Linked DNA regions of Macaca mulatta. The protein of the gene in region 2 purifies or fractionates together with the protein of the main gene of each other region. This does not show direct contact. Links are inferred from orthologs where the notes say so. Each region holds a gene or a part of one and is shown on either strand. Other genes may lie near its edges.

The links.
Region 1: the proteins of HIF1A (region 2) and LAMP2 purify together in Homo sapiens (affinity purification with western blotting; 3 studies listed by BioGRID). This does not show direct contact. The link is inferred for Macaca mulatta from reciprocal best matches to the Homo sapiens genes HIF1A and LAMP2.
Region 3: the proteins of HIF1A (region 2) and FASN purify together in Homo sapiens (affinity purification with western blotting; 3 studies listed by BioGRID and IntAct, with this or other methods). This does not show direct contact. The link is inferred for Macaca mulatta from reciprocal best matches to the Homo sapiens genes HIF1A and FASN.
Region 4: the proteins of HIF1A (region 2) and CUL2 purify together in Homo sapiens (affinity purification with western blotting; 7 studies listed by BioGRID and IntAct, with this or other methods). This does not show direct contact. The link is inferred for Macaca mulatta from reciprocal best matches to the Homo sapiens genes HIF1A and CUL2.

What each region holds. Positions count from the first base shown.
Region 1 is NC_133426.1:126,855,424-126,860,187, forward strand, and holds part of LAMP2 (lysosome-associated membrane glycoprotein 2 precursor), read right to left. Parts: intron 1,081-4,764; coding exon 962-1,080; intron 1-961. UniProt on the Homo sapiens protein: Lysosomal membrane glycoprotein which plays an important role in lysosome biogenesis, lysosomal pH regulation and autophagy.
Region 2 is NC_133412.1:134,846,862-134,851,625, forward strand, and holds part of HIF1A (hypoxia-inducible factor 1-alpha), read left to right. Parts: intron 1-955; coding exon 956-1,176; intron 1,177-2,148; coding exon 2,149-2,435; intron 2,436-4,544; coding exon 4,545-4,667; intron 4,668-4,764.
Region 3 is NC_133421.1:91,793,077-91,797,840, forward strand, and holds part of FASN (fatty acid synthase), read right to left. Parts: intron 4,717-4,764; coding exon 4,582-4,716; intron 3,827-4,581; coding exon 3,364-3,826; intron 3,152-3,363; coding exon 2,964-3,151; intron 2,646-2,963; coding exon 2,456-2,645; intron 1,820-2,455; coding exon 1,725-1,819; intron 1,499-1,724; coding exon 1,364-1,498; intron 1,289-1,363; coding exon 1,085-1,288; intron 993-1,084; coding exon 877-992; intron 682-876; coding exon 509-681; intron 436-508; coding exon 244-435; intron 164-243; coding exon 83-163; intron 1-82. UniProt on the Homo sapiens protein: Fatty acid synthetase is a multifunctional enzyme that catalyzes the de novo biosynthesis of long-chain saturated fatty acids starting from acetyl-CoA and malonyl-CoA in the presence of NADPH.
Region 4 is NC_133414.1:36,494,031-36,499,426, forward strand, and holds the start of CUL2 (cullin-2), read right to left. Parts: upstream 3,666-5,396; 5' UTR 3,548-3,665; exon of another isoform or gene 3,265-3,547; intron 1,390-3,264; exon of another isoform or gene 1,299-1,389; intron 1-1,298.

The DNA.
Region 1 (4,764 bases), on a different chromosome or scaffold from region 2:
GTTTGCTGTGTAAACCAGTCCCTGATTCTTCAGCTACATACCACTCCTCTGGATAAATTCATGTATGTCTAAAAAGAAAAGGAAAACTGGCTTGAGCTGCTGTTCTTAAACTGATTTTTTAAAAAAATTAGGTTGTAACTAGTCATGACCTTAACAAAAAGAAAATAAGAAGGCAAAGGGATTAAGAGGAGACACCAAAAAGGGGGAGATTTTAGTGTTAGGTTGGTGCAAAAGTAATTGCAGTTTGTGCCAAAAAGAATCGCTTACTTAGGTTGGTGCAAAAGTAATTGTGGTTTGTTCCTTTAATGGCAATTACTTTTGTACCAACCTAAGTAAGCATTTTTTTTTTTTTTTGAGCTAGAGTCTCGCTCTGTTGCCCAGGCTGGAGTGCAGTAGCACAACCATCGCTCACTGCAGACTCAACTTCCTGGGCTCAAGCGATCTTCCCCCCTCGACCTGGCAAGTGGCTGGAGCTACATGTATATGCCACCATGCCTGGCTAATTTTTAAATTTTTTTCTAGGTAGAGATGAGGTCTCACTATGTTGCCAAGGCTGGGCTCAAGCAATCCTCCTGCTTTGGCCTTCCAAAATGCTGGGATCACAGGCATGAGACACCACGCCCAGAAGGGAAGCTATTTTTTAAAAGGGCAAGCTTTGGTGCTAGTACATTTTAAACACTTTACAGAAATAGTTAGACCTGAACACCATATAGTCATCTTCAGATCATTTGCCCTTAATCAAGTCCTGCAAAAACTCCCAAGAACCAATGAATCAGAAGAAATATTCATTCTAACACTAAACAGAATAACTTCCGAGTGTATATGCTTAAAAAAACTCCCAGAGTTTAAGCATTAAGTCAGTCAATGTGGAATTTCATTTGTATACATGTATCTAAAGGATTAAAAAAGTCAATTAAATTCCTACTATAAAACTCAAAGAAAAATTAAAATATATACTTACATAAGTTTTATTTGTAGTTTCATAGCGTACTGTGAAATTCATCTGCCATTTTGCATAAAGGCAAGTGGCTTTTCCTGAATCTGTCAAATTAAGTTCCAATGCGTAAGACTGCACAGCTCCTGGATTTATTTTAAAAAATAAGATTTTAAAATTGTACTACAAAAATACATATAAATTAAAAACAAGCTCTATCCACCACTGAAGTTCAACCAGCTCTAAAATGAAACAAAAGTATATCTCTGTATACACATACATATATGTCAGCAGTCAGCAGGATACTATATATATACACATACATATATACACACATATATATACATGCAGTCAGCAGGATACTATATATATACCCATACATATATATGTATACGCATACATATGTATATATATGTATGTGTATATATATAGAGAGTATCCTGCTGACTGTTTTTCTTTGTATTTTTAACAGAATCCTATTGATAAAAAGTTGGCATTATCCCTTACCAAAAGAATGGTTACTAGACCTAGGATGCTTAGGTAATGGCTCAGACTGGTGACATTTATTTGCCTTTTGCCTTCAAATAATCATTTCCACATGCATTTATACCTTACTAGTTTTGTTTTAGGCTATTACAGTTTGCCTGTTAGGACTTGTGATTTTTGAGGTAAATGAGGTAAGAGAAAGCCTGGTAGGGGTGTAAAACTCCTCTCAAACCAGCTGGTGAAACATTGTCTGCAAAAATAATGATAGATTCTATCATCTTGTTGCTTTAAATCCTGCTGCAAGCTACATAACCTATGACACATGGATGTCTTCTCAAACGATTTTATTCTGATGTGATCAGATATTCTTTCCGAGTATCATGTAACCAAGGAAGCAGAGTTGCAAAGGGCTGTTAAATCCGTAAGAAAAACATGAATTCTTATAAATGCAAAGTTTATCACTTTGTTTCACTTTAAAATCTAATTGATTAGAAAGGCTGATGAATTTTTTGACACAGAGTTACTTCCTAAATTTTCAACCTGCTACCTCTTTAGGCAGAGAAATATTACAGAGACAGAAAAGCCTTGGGACTTTTCAGCTAACATGATTGATCTTCTACACTTAAACACAGAAACATTACCTATTAAACTGAAGAGCCCAAGGACTCAAAATACGAATTCAGAGGTGAAAAAATATTCCAGCACACATGCCAGCAGCATAAATATTGAGCAACCATTTAAGGGATTTTCTTCACTGTATCACACATTACCCAAAGAGTAAGCTGTTTCCTGTTAAGATACTTGCATACTCTTTAATAATATCTGAGCAATCCACTGTCATCTACAGGTACGGACATGCTATAGACTCGAGAAAAGTGCTAAGATGAATATCAAGAAGGTATGCCTCGGCAACAGCATTCAAGTCGTATACAAGAGCCTATCGTCATGCTCTGGAGACCTGGCTGCTTTGCAAGCCAGAATATTATACTAAAGCTTGTGGTTACTGACAGTGACTAAATGCATTGGCTAAGGCTCAAAAAGACCTTGTGAGGCCTAAGTAGGTTTTATGATCATTCTTTTCTAAGTACAATACGGAAGGGAGCTGTCACACTTACTGATCCAAGGCTCCCTGCCGTGGAGCCAAGAGCTCCAACTTACAATTTTAATGAACTGGAGGTTTGCTTTTTATATTCAGTCTTTCTTGGTCTTGTTTAAGGTCTCTAGCTTTAGTATATTATTCTCCTTGTATTCAAAGCATTCAAAAGTATTGAAAATAACCAAGAAAAGCCTCAAATGTATTAATCGTTTTCTTTCCAAAGATATTAGAATAACAGGAAGAAGACCATGTATAATAGGGATAGCATCAATGTGTCTTGGGGTGTGAGAACTGACGTTTTATGAAACAGAAGGTAGAGGTTGTGGTTCAAATGTATCACTTGAAATCAAATTCAAGATAGTATACCTGGTGGCCTGTAAACAAGAGCTCAGAAACACCCCGAGGGTTCTGGCACACTCTGTTCCATTCCCTTCACAGCCTTTATACCTGGGAGTACAATTCTTTCCACTTCTTGGTCCCCAACTCTAACTACACAGGGACCACTTTTACTCAATATCTCTCACCTCAAACTCAGCAATTCTCAAACTAAAGTTCATTCTTCTACTTCCCCCAAACTGGGTCCCTCCTCAGCCTCGCTAGCTCTAAATGAAGAGTGGGATCAGTCACTCAAGCTCAGTTTCAGAAATAGCCTCTACTTCTTTCTCTTCAAGAAGTCTTGTTGATTTTTTTTCCTTCAAATCTTCTCTTAAATCCAATCTTTGCCTTTTATTTCTACTCCCAATCTATCACCCCATACCTAAATTATGACAAACAATGCCTAGATACCCCTAGAAGTGCTGCCAGATTAACAATCCTTAAGCACCATTTCCTTTTACGACACTTTCTTGTTCAAAAACTTTTACTGGTTCCAAAATTCCCATATGAAATTTAAATTCCTCTGCCTGACTTTCAAAGTAATCTTTAATCTTGTCCCATCCTATTGCTTCAACTTCTCTCAAACTATTTTCCCAGAGCACACCCTGTAATCCAGTTAAACTTGTTTCCACCGGGCTCAAATGCCATACTCTATTCAACCTCTACCCTGGGCTTCTATTGTTCCTAACACCTGAAGTCTATTTTCTTCTACTGGCCTAAATGCTCACCTCAAAGATGGATTTTCCTCTCTTTTTGGCTGTCCCAAATCTGAAATACCCCTTGTCCCCTTGTTACAATTTCTGGCAGAAATCACCACCCACTATAAAAGCTGAAAACACTGGATACTTGCTTTCACAGACTCCCTTGCAGTAAGGAGGACCACTTGTGCTAGGCTCTGCCTAACAAAGGTATCCACCCCACACGTTGAAAGGAGGGCTGCAAATGGAGCCAGGAATGGAACAGGTTGGGAGGCAGGTGTGGAGTAGCAGAAGCAGGATCAAGCTCCCAGGCAACAAGGCCAGCAGAGCAAGCTGCAATTTCACACTTGGCAGTGGTACTGCAGTTCAGTGGCATGATCTGGGTTGTTGAATCCTGAATTGGGATTTGGTATATATAGCCAGGAGCACCAGAAATTCTGAGTTACCCAATATACCCCTTTAATAAACATTTCATATGTAACATATGTACAGAAACAGGCACAGTATAACAGATGTAAGGGAAAAGTGCACATAATATTAAGTCTACAGCTCAAATAATTTTCACAAACCAAACCCACTTGTATCAAGAAACAGAACATTACCAGAACAGGTGCTGACCCACTGCACAGTTGAAAATCTGCATATTATTTTTGACTCCCCCAAAACTTAACTACTAATATCCTACTGTTAACTGGAAGCATTACCAACAACATAAACAGTTAATTAACACATATTTTGTATGTTATATATGTATTATATACTGTGTTTTGAAAATAAAGCTAGAGAAAAGAAAATGTTAAGAAAATCATGGCCGGGCGCGGTGGCTCAAGCCTGTAATCCCAGCACTTTGGGAGGCCGAGGAGGGTGGATCACGAGGTCAGGAGATCGAGACCATCCTGGCTAACATGGTGAAACCCCGTCTCTACTAAAAATACAAAAAAAAAAACTAGCCGGGCGTGGTGGCGGGTGCCTGTAGTCCCAGCTACTCGGAGGCTGAGGCAGGAGAATGGCGTGAACCTGGGAGGCGGAGCTTGCAGTGAGCCGAGATCGCGCCACTGCACTCCAGCCTGGGTGACACAGCGCGAGACTCCGTCTCAAAAAAAAAAAAATAAAATAAAAAAAGAAAATCATAAGGAGGGCTGGGCACAGTGGCTCACACCTGTAATCCCACCACT
Region 2 (4,764 bases):
ACAAATTGCCTTGTCATCATCACTCTTCCCAAAGGATATCTGAAATTCTTTCTTTCTTTTTTTTTTTTTTGTGAGACGGAGTCTCACTCTGTCGCCCAGGCTGGAGTGCAGTGGCGTGATCTTGGCTCACTCCACCTCCTGAGCTCAAGCAATTCTCGTGCCTCAGCCTCTCAGGTAGCTGGGACTACAGACGTGCACCACCACACCGGGTTAATTTTTTGTATTTTTAGTAGAGACAGGGTTTTGCCATGTTGGCCAGGCTCTTGAACTCCCAGGCTCAAGCGACCCATCTGCCTCAGCCTCCCAAAGTGCTGGGATTACAGGCATGAGCCACTGTGCCCAGCCTAGATATCTGAAATTCTTAACTGAAATTAGTCAAATTATCTTGTACTGGGAATTTTTTTTTTAATTTCAACTTTTATATTTGATTCAGGGGATACATACATAGGTTTGTTACATGGGTATATCATGTGATGCTGAGGTTTGGGGTACAATTGATCCTGTCACCCAGATAGTGAGCATAATACCCAACAGTTGTTCAACCCTTGCCCCTCTCTCCTAGTAGTCCTCAGTGTCTGTTGATGCCATCTTTATGTCCACAAGTAACCCAATGTTTAGCTCCCACTTACAAGTGACAGCATGCAGCATTTGGTTTTCTGTGTCTGGGTTATCTCACTTAGGATAATGGTCTCTGGATGCATCCATGTTGCTGCAAAGAACATGATTTCATTCTTTTTTATGGCTGCATACTGTGCATTGTATTGGGTCTTTATTTTGTAATAGCATTTTAAAACCCTAAATGTGACAAAGTACACGTGAGTGATCATGCATCTCAAGAAATCCTAAAATGTTCCTGTCCATAAAGCAGAATTTTTTAAGACTTTTTGACAGTCCCCCTTCCCCTCACTGTGTCAAGTGCTCATTTGTGAATTACTAATTTCTCTTGTTTTGACAGTGGTATTATTCAGCACGACTTGATTTTCTCCCTTCAACAAACAGAATGTGTCCTTAAACCAGTTGAATCTTCAGATATGAAAATGACTCAGCTATTCACCAAAGTTGAATCAGAAGATACAAGTAGCCTCTTTGACAAACTTAAGAAGGAACCTGATGCTTTAACTTTGCTGGCCCCAGCCGCTGGAGACACAATCATATCTTTAGATTTTGGCAGCAACGGTGAGTAGTTATTTTGTTAATGCCCTAAATTGTGTCTGTTGCTACAAGCCTCATTTCAACTAAACATTACTTTGACGTTTTTTGTTGGTAATCATTTGGACATTACAAGCTAATATATTTTTATAGTTTTCTTAAATGTATTTGCTTAAATATTTTTGCCCTCGTAATTTCTTACCATTCTTGCTTTTTTATATTGTTGGAAATTGTGCTTCAAAGTGTCCTTAAGGTATTTCTTCTTCCCACATAAATTTTTCCTGGCTGCTCTATTTCTGTATCCTGCTGTCAGATTTTCTCCACAGTTTAGCAGAGTTACATGGAAGTAGGCATTGTTGCATTAAAGGATAAAAAGGCAGTCATACTATAACATGAAGCATTGAAGATGAAAACTGCAATTTTAAAGTAGAGAACATTTTAATGTATAAAAAGGTTGGTGTTGCCTTTTGTCTTTTATGCCGTAGAGATTAAGAGGAGGTATCAATAGTGGATTGTAAAGATAACCCAGACTTATGGTTATACTATACTATTATATGTAAACTTTCTGATGAAGGAAAATTTGTTAACATTTTGTTGTTTGATGAATTAGACAAACCTTCCGTGAAAAGGAACACAAATTTTTTGTATGTTAAAATCCCTGTGGCCAGGCGCAGTGGCTCACGCCTGTAATCCCAGCACTCTGGGAGGCCAAGGCGGGTGGATCACTTGAGGTTAGGAGTTCGAGACCAGCCTGGCCACCATGGTGAAACCCCGTCTCTACCAAAAATACAAAAATTAGCTGGGCGTGGTGGTGTGCGCCTGTAATCCCAACTACTTGGGAGGCTAAGGCAGGAGAATTGCTTGAACCTGGGAGGCAGAGGTGGCAGTGAGCCAAGATTGCACCATTGTACTCCAGCCTGGGCAACAGAGCAAGACTGTCTTGGGTTAAAAAAAAAAATCCTTGTATACTTTAGACTGACTCGTATTTTTTCCCCACAGACACAGAAACTGATGACCAGCAACTTGAGGAAGTACCATTGTATAATGATGTAATGCTCCCCTCATCCAACGAAAAATTACAGAATATAAATTTGGCAATGTCTCCATTACCCACCTCTGAAACGCCAAAGCCACTTCGAAGTAGTGCTGACCCTGCACTCAATCAAGAAGTTGCATTAAAATTAGAACCAAATCCAGAGTCACTGGAACTTTCTTTTACCATGCCCCAAATTCAGGATCAGCCACCTAGTCCTTCTGATGGAAGCACTAGACAAAGTTCACCTGAGGTAGGTGTCATGATATAATCAGAAAGAGACAACTTTCAGATTTTAACATTCAAGAATGTATTTATAAGTTTGACTCAAACACTCATTTGAACCACAAATTACATTTGTGTGTGTGTTTGAATTTTAGCACTTTAAAATTATTGCAAGAGCTATTGCCTAACTTAGACCTGAGCATATGTTTTAGGCTCAAAGATAGTCAGGAACATGGGAAGAAACTAGCTTAATATAAACCAAAAGGTGAAATGTACATTATTTCTCTGTATCAGTAGGACAAAAACATCCTGAATTTGGACATTTAAAGAGAATAGTACTAAGTGTGCTCAAGGTAGCCACAGCCTATACCTGTTACCCCTTTTAGTTTGTTTTATTGTGTTTTGTTTTGTTTTGAGAGTCTCACTATCACCCAGGCTGGAGTGCAGTGGTGCAATCACAGCTCACTACAGCCTCAACCTTCCAGGCTCAAATGATTCTCCCACCTCAGTCTCCCGAGTAGCTGGGACTACAGGCCCGTACCACCATGCCTGGCTGATTTTTTAACCATTTTTTTTTTTGGTGGAGTCAGGGTTCTCACTATATTGCCCAGGCTGGTTTTAAACTCCTGGGCTCAAGTGATCCTCCTGCCTTGGCCTCCCGAAGTACTAGGATTACAGGCGTGAGCTCCCATGCCTGGCCCATTACCCCTTTGAGTTGGAGAACTGTCTGGTAGCAATAGACTTAACAGGGTTTAAATGGGAAAGGACTTTATAAATTCTTTGCCCAGTTTAGTCCAATTTCCATCACTATTTTGAAATTTTGGATAAGTATAACATGAAAATAACAAGTGTTACATAAAATACTTAGTAACTGGTCTTTTTTATTCTGGATCTGTCTTGATATTAATTGTCCTATAAACACAATAAAAATAATCTTTAAAGGCTAGGCTGGCCAAGACTGGAGATATCACACAGGGCTCTATTTCTAAATCTAGAATGATTCCATTTTAGGGCTTTGTACATCTAAAAATATACTCAGTAGGACAACTAAGATCCGAACATTATAACTTGATAAATGAGGCATAAATAAGCTTTAATAAGTGGTAAATAATTCTACATTGAATATTTGTTGAATAAAACTGACAAGCTAAGAGTAGGAGATTTGACATCTCATAGCCTTGTGGTGAATGAATATATATCCTATGCTCTGGTTGCTTAATTTACCCACCACAAAAAAAAAGTTTGGTTCATCTTGGTTTTTATCTAACAAAAGTAAATCTAACAAAAACATTAGAATGAGGAAAGCAAAATTTCTTGTTTAGAATACACAGCTATAGTTTTTTGTTAAAATTCTTGCCCAGAACTCTTAAAATAGTAATAATGTACATTCGTTCAGGTATATGCAGGTAAAATAACTTAAGTTTCTACTCCCACTCCTGACAATAGCTGTGAGATTTTTACGTAGCTCAGTCACCACAGGAATGTGCCTTCTCAGTTCAAAGATAAATTTCAGTGAATGTAGCATCTAGTTAATTGGTCAATTAGGTACCATTGTGGAATGTGAATTACCAAATAGGTTTTATTCTTAGAATAAGGTGTTTCTTTTCATCTTAATTTTGTAAATGATGTTATATTACATAGTCAGAAATATGTATATTGGCAAAATTAGTTACCAGTATAAGCTTCAAAATGTCACTATTTTCACTTTTTTTTTTTTTGAGATGGAGTCTCACTCTGTCACCAGGCTAGAGTGCAGTGGCACGATCTTGGCTCACTGCAGCCTCCGCTTCCCAGGTTCAAGTGATTCTCCTGCCTCAGCCTCCTGAGTTGCTGGGATTACAGGCATATGTCACCATGCCCAGCTAATTTTTGTATGTTTAGTAGAGACGAGGTTTCACCATGTTGGCCAGGATGGTCTCAATCTCTTGACCTCGTGATCCACCCGCCTTGGCTTCCCAAAGTGCTGGGATTACAGGCGTGAGCCACCAAGCCCAGCCTAGTTAAATAAAATTTGATAAACACGATGGACTTGGTTGTGTGTTTTCTGGTTTTTCTGAGATCTAGTTTGAAAATTCTGACAACTAGCAAAGTATATGGAGGCTTCTTCAGGAAATAGTAAACGTATTTCTTTTTACAGCCTAATAGTCCCAGTGAATATTGTTTTTATGTGGATAGTGATATGGTCAATGAATTCAAGTTGGAATTGGTAGAAAAACTTTTTGCTGAAGACACAGAAGCAAAGAACCCATTTTCCACTCAGGTATATTAACTTGTTTTATATTAAATTTCATTAATTTTTAGTCTGAAGTAACTTTGAGTTTCACTTGTTTTTTATTTATAAAGTGTAGCCATTGTAA
Region 3 (4,764 bases), on a different chromosome or scaffold from region 2:
GCAGGTGTGGAAGAACCTGAAGACGGGTGGCATGGCCAGCGGGCACAGCCCCCGCAGCTCCCACGCCACCAGCCCTGCTTACCACTCACTATCAGGTTGCCGTTCTGTGACACCTCGAAGGCGCGGGAGGCCTCCAGGAGCCGTACCTCCAGGGACACGGTCCCTGCAGAGCAGGAGAGTCAGAGATCAGAGGGCAGCACCTGCCCCCAGCTGCCCCCGCCTTGGTCCTGGGGTGCCCCTCACCAGTCTTGGGCAGGATGGTGGCCTGGTGCAGCACCACGTCCTCAAACACCACAGGCAGCTGCTCCACGGCCAGGCCCAGGGCCCGGGCCAGCGTCTTCCACACTATGCACAGGTAGCCAGTGGCGGGGAAGATGACGCGGCCGTCGATGGTGTGATCCACCAGGTAGTGGTCGGGAGACTCGGAGCTGGTGTCTGCAGGAGGGCACAGGCCTCAGCACTGGTGTGGGGAGGGAAGAGCTTGCCCACCCGCCGGGCCCCTGCTCACCGATGTTGTAGACGGCGGCCGAGGGGGAACCAGAGCCGTTGGGGAAGTCCTCGGCAGCTGGCACGTCCCAGGCCAGGCTGTGGTCCCACTTGATGAGTGGGGAGATGAGGGGGGTTCCTCGGGGAGCTGGGAACTCCACAGGCGGGAACAGGGCATTGGGGTTGGCGTCGATGCTGTGAAGAAGGGAGGCACAGGCGGCACATCCGTCACCGGGGTCCAGGGGCTCTGGGTTCAGCCGACCCACTCCCTGTGGTGGACCATCCAGGGCTGCCCCCACCAGCCTGGGTCAGTGAGGGTCCGGCAGCCCTGCTCACCCACCCCACGCCGTCGACTGCAGGAGATGAGGCCCGCGATGGGAAGGGACCCACCCTGAGAGGTGCAGCCTGCCGATGCCGGTGAGGAAGAACTCCAGGTTGTCCCTGTGATCCTTCTTCATCAGGGGAATGATGGTGCAGCCCGGCTTCAGGCCACGCTTCAGGACAGCCTGGGGGCGGCAGGGCGCGTGGGCTCCCTTGGTGCTCAGCCGAGGTGCCCGTCCCAGATTCCCGGCGCCCGCCGCCCCCAGGCTGGGCCTACCTGCAGCAGGGCATGGGGCGCGACCTCCAGCACCACCGCGTGCTCGGGCACGTGACACAGGGCCTCCTGGAACAGCACAGGGCTGACCAGGTTGTTGACATTGTACTCGGCGGAGGACGTGCGTGCCAGGCTGCTGTGCCACTGGGCCTCGGGGATGGAGGTGCTGAGCCAGCGGGCTGAACGTGGCTTCGGCTCCCGGATCACCTGCACGAGGGGCCAGGTCAGTGCTGGGTCACGGGCACCCCGGCCCGCCCCGCGCCCCCCGGGCCGAGTCAGCACCTTCTTGAGCGCCTGCAGCAGTGGGGGTGCGATGGCCTCCATGAAGTAGGAGTGGAAGGCCATGCCGCCGGTCCGCACCTCCTTGGCAAACACACCCTCCTTCCTCAGCTGCTCCATGAACTCGAACACAGAGGCCTGGGCATCGTGGGAGCCTGGATGAGCATCCTGGCCAGGCACCCACCTCAGGCTCAGGGAGGTAGAGAGAACCAAGAGGGAATGCGCAAGGGACCTGGGGACAAGCCTGCCCCATCCCCAGGCCCGTCAGAGCCTCACAGGGCATAGACCGTGGCCGCATGTCCCTGCCAGACTTGCAATGGCAGGCGCAGGGGACAGAGGAGCCAGCCTGGGCCGCAGCACCCACCTGAGGTCCCGAGATGGTGACTGTGTCCTTGGAGTTGTGGCAGGCGGGCACCACGCCCGGGGGGCAGCGCTGTTTACACTCCTCCCAGGACAAGCCTATGGCAGAGCCAGCCTCAGAGGCTTAGCGTGGGGACTGAGCCGCTCCCAGCCACCCACCTACCCAGGACACCGCCTGCAGCTGGGGGCAGTAATGATAGGCGTAGTAATGGCAGCCTTGGAGCCTTCATGAGAAACGTTCGCCCCCTGCTGTGTTTGACCCGTGGGTGGAGGCGTCATTACAGAGCTGCCAGGGGCAGCTCCTGGGAGCCCAGTCCCAGATGGTGGCCCCTCAGTCCTCTGCAGTCCCAGTTCTTTCCAAGCCCTGCCCACATGTGGCCCACAGGGCTGAGATGGGTGTCAACCAGTCTGAGGGAACCCTGGCGACCTGTGTGTTGGCTTCACTAAAGCCCCTGGGTTCTTACTATGCCGGGGCTGTGTCCCAGGGGGCTCCATGCAGGCCTGATGCCCATGGGCACGTGCCTAGGCCCAAGGCTGCCAGGTGTGGGAGCAGTGGGGCAGCTGCACGGGGACTTGCGCACGGCTGTGTCTGAGCTGGGTGTCCCTGGGCCAGCGGGGGCCACTCTATCCTACAGGGGCCAGGCCAGGGCTGCAGGTGAGGACCCCACAGCGAGAAGGCAGCCTCCTTTCTTGGAGGTGCTGGGGGCCCCTCTGGGAGACCTCGGGGACACCTACCCACGGCTGCCATGGCGCCCGGTGGGAGATGGGCTTCTTTGATGCATTGCCCCCTCCAGTAGGCAGCGAGGACGGCCTCCTCCTGGGACAGGCAGCCGTCAGCATAGCCACAGGCCACCTCCCCCAGAGAGTGGCCGATGATGCCGTCTGGTCTCAGCCCCATGCAGCTCAGCAGGTCTATCAGGCCTATCTGGGGTAGAAACAGGACACTCAGCTCGCAACCTCCAGCAGGTGCAGCTGTTGGGGGCGGCCCCCCGGCCCCACTGGGCCATCTCCACCCCGGCCGCATCGACCCTCCCAGGTCTCCTGGCAGGAGAAGCCCCTGTGGCCCCAGCACCCAGGCCCCACTGAGACCCCTCCCCTCCCTGCTCCCGTCCTACCCCCAGCACAAGGCTCTGCCCGGCAAAGAGGCTGTCAGGGTCCTGACTAGAGACTGCAGCTCCTGGGCTCCAGGGAAAGCCAGAGCCCTGCGCTGGCATTGCACACACACGGGCAAGCTGGGTCCTACCTGGATGGCAGTCAGGCTCACGAAAGCGTGGACGATGTCGTCAAAGGTGCTCTCGTCCATGCTCAGAAGCAGCTGCGACACCTTCAGGCCGAACGGCTTCACAGCCTCGTCGGAGCGCAGGATAGAGTCTCGGAAGCGGTCCAGGCGCATGAGGCTCAGCCCCATCCCGCGCCACTGCGTGCCCATCCCTGTCCCAGAGAGTATGTCACGAGGCTTAGCGCCATCCCGCGCCACTGCGTGCCCATCCCTGTCCCAGAGAGTATGTCACGAGGCTTAGCGCCATCCCGTGCCACTGGGTGCCCATCCCTGTCCCAGAGAGCACCTCAGGAGACCACCGGCTCCAGCTCGCCTGCCCTCTCCCCAGAGAAGGGACCACCTTGGGGACAGAGTGTGGGCTCACCAGAGCAGATGAACCAGAGTGGGCGCTCGCCAGCGGGCACCTGCTGCACCTCTGGGCCACTGTGCTCGCCACCCAGCACGGCATAGCCGCGGAAGGGCATGGCCGTGGTGGGGATGGCCGCGATGTCATTCAGCATGCTCAGGAAAGCCAGCTCCTGGCTGTGCTGGAGGCCCTGCTCCAGCAGCTCCTGCACGGCCTCAGGGGTGCGTCCACTAGCCCGCAGCAGACGGGGCAGGCTGGCGTGTGGGGCGGGTGCCGGGGGCGGCTGCGTGTGGGGCCTCAGGATGACGTGCACGTTGGAACCCCCAAAGCCAAAGGAGTTGATGCCCACGTTGCCACCACGGACGGGCAGAGGCTGGGCCACCACTTGCAGCCGCCCATCCAACAGTGCTGGGATCTCAGGGTGGGGGCTGTGGAAGTGCAGGTTGGGGGCCCAGAGCCCGTGCTCCAGGGACAGCAGCACCTGTGGGGGTACATGGTGGGTGGGCAGCCGCCCCACTCCCTGCACTGCTGCCTGAGCTGGGGGCAGGCGCCGCCCCGGGACGCTCACGTGGGGCCAGGGTTCCAGGGCCCTCTCCGACACACTTCCTGTCCCCAACCTAATCCTGCCATGGCACAGGGGTCTGATGACTGAGCCGCCGTGGCCCTGCCCTCAGCTTGGTCCAAGACCTCCCCTTCGGGCCTTGCTGCCTCCCAGCCTGATGTGGACCCTCCAAAGCCTGGCTGTGGCCTGAACACTAAGGCCCCCTTGGTCCAGATGTTGCATCTCAGAGGCTGCAGAAGGCCCGAGTGACTGTGGGTGTCGGGGCTCCTGTGCCTGGTCTCTGAAGAGCCGCAGGCCTCTGTTAGTGGGTCGGGAAGCTGTAGACACGGGTGGGCAACACGGGAAACCCTGATGCTGCAGCTGACCTCCCCCAGGCCTGCTTCTGTCTCGCTCTTCCAACCCAAGTGGCTCCTCCAGCTTCGCTCCATGTCTGGCAGGCGCTCGGCAGGACGTGAGACCCCCAGGGAAGGTCCAGTGAGCCTGGCTATGAGCTCTCCCTGCTGTCAGCCTCAGTGCCTCTGCTCAGACCCGAAGCATAGCCCGGGGGACAGGGGTTCCTGGTGGGGAAGCCCCTGCCTCCACTTGGCAAACGGGAAGCAGCAGTGCCCAGCCATGGCGCAACCCAGTCCCAGGGAGCAGGGGGCTGAGGGACCCCCAAGCCCAGCTCCACCTACCTTGGCCAGGGCTGCCAGCCCCGAGACTGGCTCCGGGTGCCCCATGTTGGACTTCGTGGAGCCGACGAGCAGTGGCTCCTGGCGGGTGGCGCACAGGGCTCGGGCGATGCCATTCAGCTCCTGGGGGTCACCCACCTGTGGGAAACACGGGGGGGTCAGGGGCTCTGGCCAGGCCACCTCTCC
Region 4 (5,396 bases), on a different chromosome or scaffold from region 2:
CAGCCTGGCCAACATGGTGAAGCCCCATCTCTACTAAAAATTCAAACTCCAGCCTAGGTGACAGAGCAAGACTCCATCTCAAAATAAATAAATAAATAAACAAATGAACTTAACAAGGGCAGGGACCAAATCAGAATACACTGCAGTACTCCAGTTTTCTCCTCTTCTTTCTACATTCTCTGTGTTCTCATCCTATTTCGTAACTTAAGTACTACTTAACACTCTAAAAAATACAAATGTCAAAGCAAGTGTATTACCATTTCTGCAAAGTGGGGACAATATTTGCTTATATGTCCACAAATATTTTTTCCAAGGATATCTAAGAAACAGCTAACAATGTTTGGCTCCAAGGAAAGCTGGATGACAAGGGTACAAGGAGTGGAGAGAGATATTCATTCTATTCCCTATTAACAGTTGAATATTTTGGTTTTCTGTTTGTTTGTTTTAGAGACAGGGTCTCACTCTGTCACTCAGGCTGGAGTGCCGTGGTGCAATCATAGATCACTGCCACTTCCAACCTGGGCATCTGGCCTCAGTTTCCCAATAGTGGGTACTACAGGCATGTGCCACCATGCCTGGCAAATTTTTTTTAAATTATTTTTTGTAGACATGTGGTCTCACCATGTTGCCCAGACTAACATTTTAAATTTTGAGTCACGTGAATATAGTTTTTGTTAAACACATTAGTATACCAATAAATAAATGCTGAGGACTCTCCATATCCATCTTTCTCTCTTCACTAGAAGTTAAGTTCCATGAAGCCAGAGATTTTTAAACTACTATATCCACACATCTGGTTTAAAGCTGGTGCTTGAGAAGCCCTTGTTCAATGAGTTAATCACTCCTCAACCTCTCACTAAGTTCTACACTTATTTCCAATCACCTACTTCTCACCTCCACTTGAACAATGAGATCCAACTTAACATGTCCAACCCAACCCCATCCCATACAACAGCCTGCTTCCCCCCACCCTTCTTCATCTCAGTACACAGCATCATCATTCTCCAGCGGAAGCCAAAAACCCGGGAGTGACCCCTGTCCCACTGCATGCTCATCTAAAACATGACAATTTCAATAAGTATCTTCAACTCCAAAATAAATCTCAAAACCTGTCACTTGTACCTTAACCCTCCACAGCCACTGCTCTTATCACTGGTCTCCTTGCATCTCTCCTCTTCTCCAGTTGAGTCTGATTCTCAATCAGACCTTATCACTCCCAGTTTAGAAGAGTTCCAAAAGCCTTTTAATGTATCATAAGAACAAAAGCCAACATGATCCAGCCCCTGGCTAGGACCCACCTTTAATCTCTATAAGGGTCCACCTTAAGCCAATTTCAGTTTGTTGGATCCAAGTTTGATAGCACCTCAGGGTTTTTCCATTTGCTCCTCCCTAAAACAGGAAAACTTTTCCCTCAGAATTTCAAACTTTACCTCAGGAAGGTCTTTTCCGGTTACAGTATCTGAAGTAATCCCCCAATTACTACCACAACTCCTTACCTTATTTCCCACACAGCACTTATTCTCTGAGATTACTTCTTATTTACCATCTGTCTCTCCATCCCAAGCCAGAATTGACACTCCACGAGGATAGAAATTTAATGGGTCAGCCAGGCACAGTGGCTCACGCCTGTAATCCCAGCACTCTGGGAGGCTGAGGAGGGTGGATCACGAGCTCAAGAGATCAAGACCATCCTGGCCAACAGGTTGAAACCCAGTCTCTACTAAAAATACAAAAATTAGCCGGGCGTGGTGGCATGCACCTGTAGTGCCAGCTACTCAAGAGGCTGAGGCAGGAGAATTGCTTGAACCTGGGAGGTAGAGGTTGCAGTGAGCCGAGATCGTGCCACTGCACTTCAGCCTGGTGACAGAAAGACTCCATCTCAAAAAAAAAATGTAATGTGTCTTGTTTACCCTTGTATCTTTAATGCCTGCAGCACTGCTTGACAAATAAACCAGGTACTTAATAAATATTTGTCAACTGACAGACAACACAAAAACGACTTTAAAGAAGGTCCATAACATTTAATCTAGTGACAAACTGCTGAGGGTAAAAGACATGGATAATCTTCACAATTATAGAACACTTAAAGCCACCAGAAAGGATAGAGAATGGAGAGTATTTCAGATGCAGGAGAACATCCAAATACTCAAAAGGCAATTGAAAAGGAATTTTTCCTACGCTATGTGCATGCACATTGTAGAAATGTTCCCCCAACTCATAAACAGCAACTGAAAAAAACAAGTAATTCAAAACACTGTGGGCTGGGTGCTGTAGCTCAGGCCGGTAATCCCAGCACTTTGGGAGGCCTAAGCAGGGGGATCACCTGAGGTCAGGAGTTCGAGACCAGCCTGGCCAACATGGTGAGACCCCCGTCTCCACTAAAAATACAAAATTAGCCGGGCGTGGTAGCATATGCCAGTAATTCCAGCTACATGGAAGGCTAAGGCAGAAGAATTGCTTGAACCCGGGAGGCGGAGGTTGCAGTGAGCCAAGATGGCACCACTGCACTCCAGCCTGGGCGACAAGAGCAAAACTCCATCTCAAAACAAAAAAACTGTGTACTTCTGTTACCTCACGTGACTCTTTTGTACGCATCTTCCAGATACTGTATATGGGCAAAAGAAGCAAAGTATAGCTAATTTATGTTCATGTGTTTGTCTTGAAAAGGGATGTAAGATTCTAAAGGGTAGGCAACAGTGTTTTGAATGTTTTTAAGCGATTATTATGTAGTCAGTTGTCAATCAGATCAAAGTGATTATTTCCCATACTTTACTACGAAGGTAGGCTTGGGCCAGGTCTAGTTCAAAGACGTTTATGTTGAACAGTCACAATCTATAGCGAATGTTAATATTTTGCATCTTATCTTCAAAATTTAAACGCCCAGGGTACTGGCCTTCAACTGTTAATATTAATCCATGGGGCAAAGATGTGGGCTTAACATTAATAACAGTCTGCAATTCACAGATGTTTTATTTGCATGCACGTAATGGTAGGGAATGGTCCAGACTCCCTAGAGGGTAAGCAAGTGCTAGAAAGCCTGTGAGGATCTTATTTCACCAGACCCTAAGTGTTGAGACAAGAGGTCTAGCTAGCATGCACGTAGGATACTCCTCCCCAAAGCTATCAATCTTTGCAGTCTGCAGAAACAAAAGTGAAAACACTCGTGGTAAGGATGCATGAGATGCCCCCCACACACACACAAACACACAGAGTTGTGTATTCGTGTGAGCACGTAAATATTTAGAAGAGTACACGCACTCTCACCTTCCCTCCTTCGGAGGAAAATGGGGCCGCGGGAGAGGCGGCCAAGATCGGATTGGGGAGGCCCGGGATCCAGTCCAGGGGGTGGCAGGGCTTAGGGGTCAGCGCTCTGGGGAGCCGAGGTCACTTACGGGATACCATCTTACCGGGCCTCCCCGTTTCATCCCTCTCCCCACACCTCGTCGCCCCCAACTCCTCTCCTCCGCCCCAGCCCCGCCACCCATTAACCGGGAAGGGAAGTTTCCCGGCGCCTGCAGCCCGGCTCCCCGACCCTCAGCGGGGTTACCTTCTGCAGAAGCAGGGCAAGGGGCAGGGGACAAGGGGAGGGGGAGGCAGCCCGAAGGAGTGAAAGACGAAGCCCCGGCGAGGAAGGTGGGCGGAGGCGGCGGCGGCGGCTGTCAGCTCGCGTTCCCCTGTTCACAGCGCTGCCATTACTGTGCGCCGAGGCCGCCTCCCCGGCCGGCCGCCGCCACCGGCCCCGGAGACGCGGGGGGTGGGGAGCGAAGCCCGGGGAGCCCGCGCGCCGACACTCACCTGTCTCCGCGAGGAAAGACAGCGAAGTCCAAGGCCGCCACCGCTGCCCGGCGGGACAGGGGCGGTAGGGAGGGGGGAAAGGGGAGAAGGACGGGCCGATCACGGGATTCGTAAAACAATCGTCCTCCTCTGCCTCCGGCTTTCCCCAAAACACACCCTCCGGTCTCCTTCTTCCGCTGCTGCCAAATCCCCCCCCGCCGCCGGAAAGCAATGGTAGAGGCCGCATTACGGCAAGCGCAGGGAGCCAAGCTTTATGTGATTGCGAAAGGCCACGAAAATTAATATTCCAAGTGATTCCTTGCTGGGCTTGCTGTCAATGAGGCAATTGCGGTTCGCTGAGCTGATGGACACAGTACCCACTCACTACCCGTTAGTCCAGGGGCTGATAATAACAATATGTTGGAATGGTGCTTTCAACAGAAGTATGTTTTCCTTGTTTCAGACCTCTGTGAATATCCTAAGACACCACAATCGTCTTGCCACACACTTCCATGGGCTTTGCAAATGATCAAAAATATATTAGTAAAACTACTTCTCCTCTCTGACAAACTCTTTTTCTAGTTAGTTTTTATCTACAGAGAACTTCTTGGACATACATGTATTTTCGATAAGAAACTTCACATCTTTGTCACTAATAGCCCAACTTCACCAAGCCCCAAGCCTATCAGTTTGAAGGGTTTTCCTCCCTTGGAGTTTTAAACGGTAAAGTTGACAAAAATGTAGAATTACTCATCACCTCCTCATATATGCAGGGCCACAGGGGAACAAAAGCCCCTCCGTAGTGCTTTTTTGCCTTTCATATCCTCAAGAGCTCACCATCAGGGTCTTGTTCATTTATACCATTCAGCAAGCTTTTCCCTCCCATCCCTTCCTTCCAAACTGCACCAACCCTTCAAGGCCCATTTAAAACCCTGCCTCCTGACCTGATCAATCCCTACAGTCTTCTGTAGGGACTGTAGGGATCCCTCCTCTTCTAGCTTCTCTTAGTACTTGAAGTCTATACTCTTTATTTCATTAAAGAGTTTTTATACACTAAATTCAATTCAACAATATGTTTCCATTATGTGACCTTTTTTTCCTTCCGTGTTTCCTCCTTTTTAATCTAGTGATTCTCAAAGTGTGGTCCCCAGACCTCTGGAAATCCCTGAGACCTTTACAGAGGTCACAAGGTTAACAACTAGTTTGTTAACAATGCAACATGTCTGGTCCTTTTTTGTTTTTGTTTTTTTGGATAGAGAGTCTTGCTCTGTTACCCAGGCTGGAATGCAGTGGTGGCATGATCTCAGCTCACTGCAACCTCTGCCTCCTGGATTCAAGTGATTCTCCTGTGTCAGCCTCCCAAGTAGCTGGGATTACAGAAGCCCGCCACCACACTCAGCTAATTTTTTGTATTTTGTAGAGACAGGGTTTCACCATGTCACCATGTTGCCCAGGCTGGTCTTGAACTCCTGAGCTCAGGCAATCCACCCACCTCGGCCTCCCAAAGTGCTAGGATTACAGGCCTGAGCCACCGTGCCAGGCCCCCCCCCCCGGTTTTTGTTTTGTTTTGTTTTTGTTTTTGACACAGGGTCTCCCTCTGTCCCTGAGGCTGGAGTGCAGGA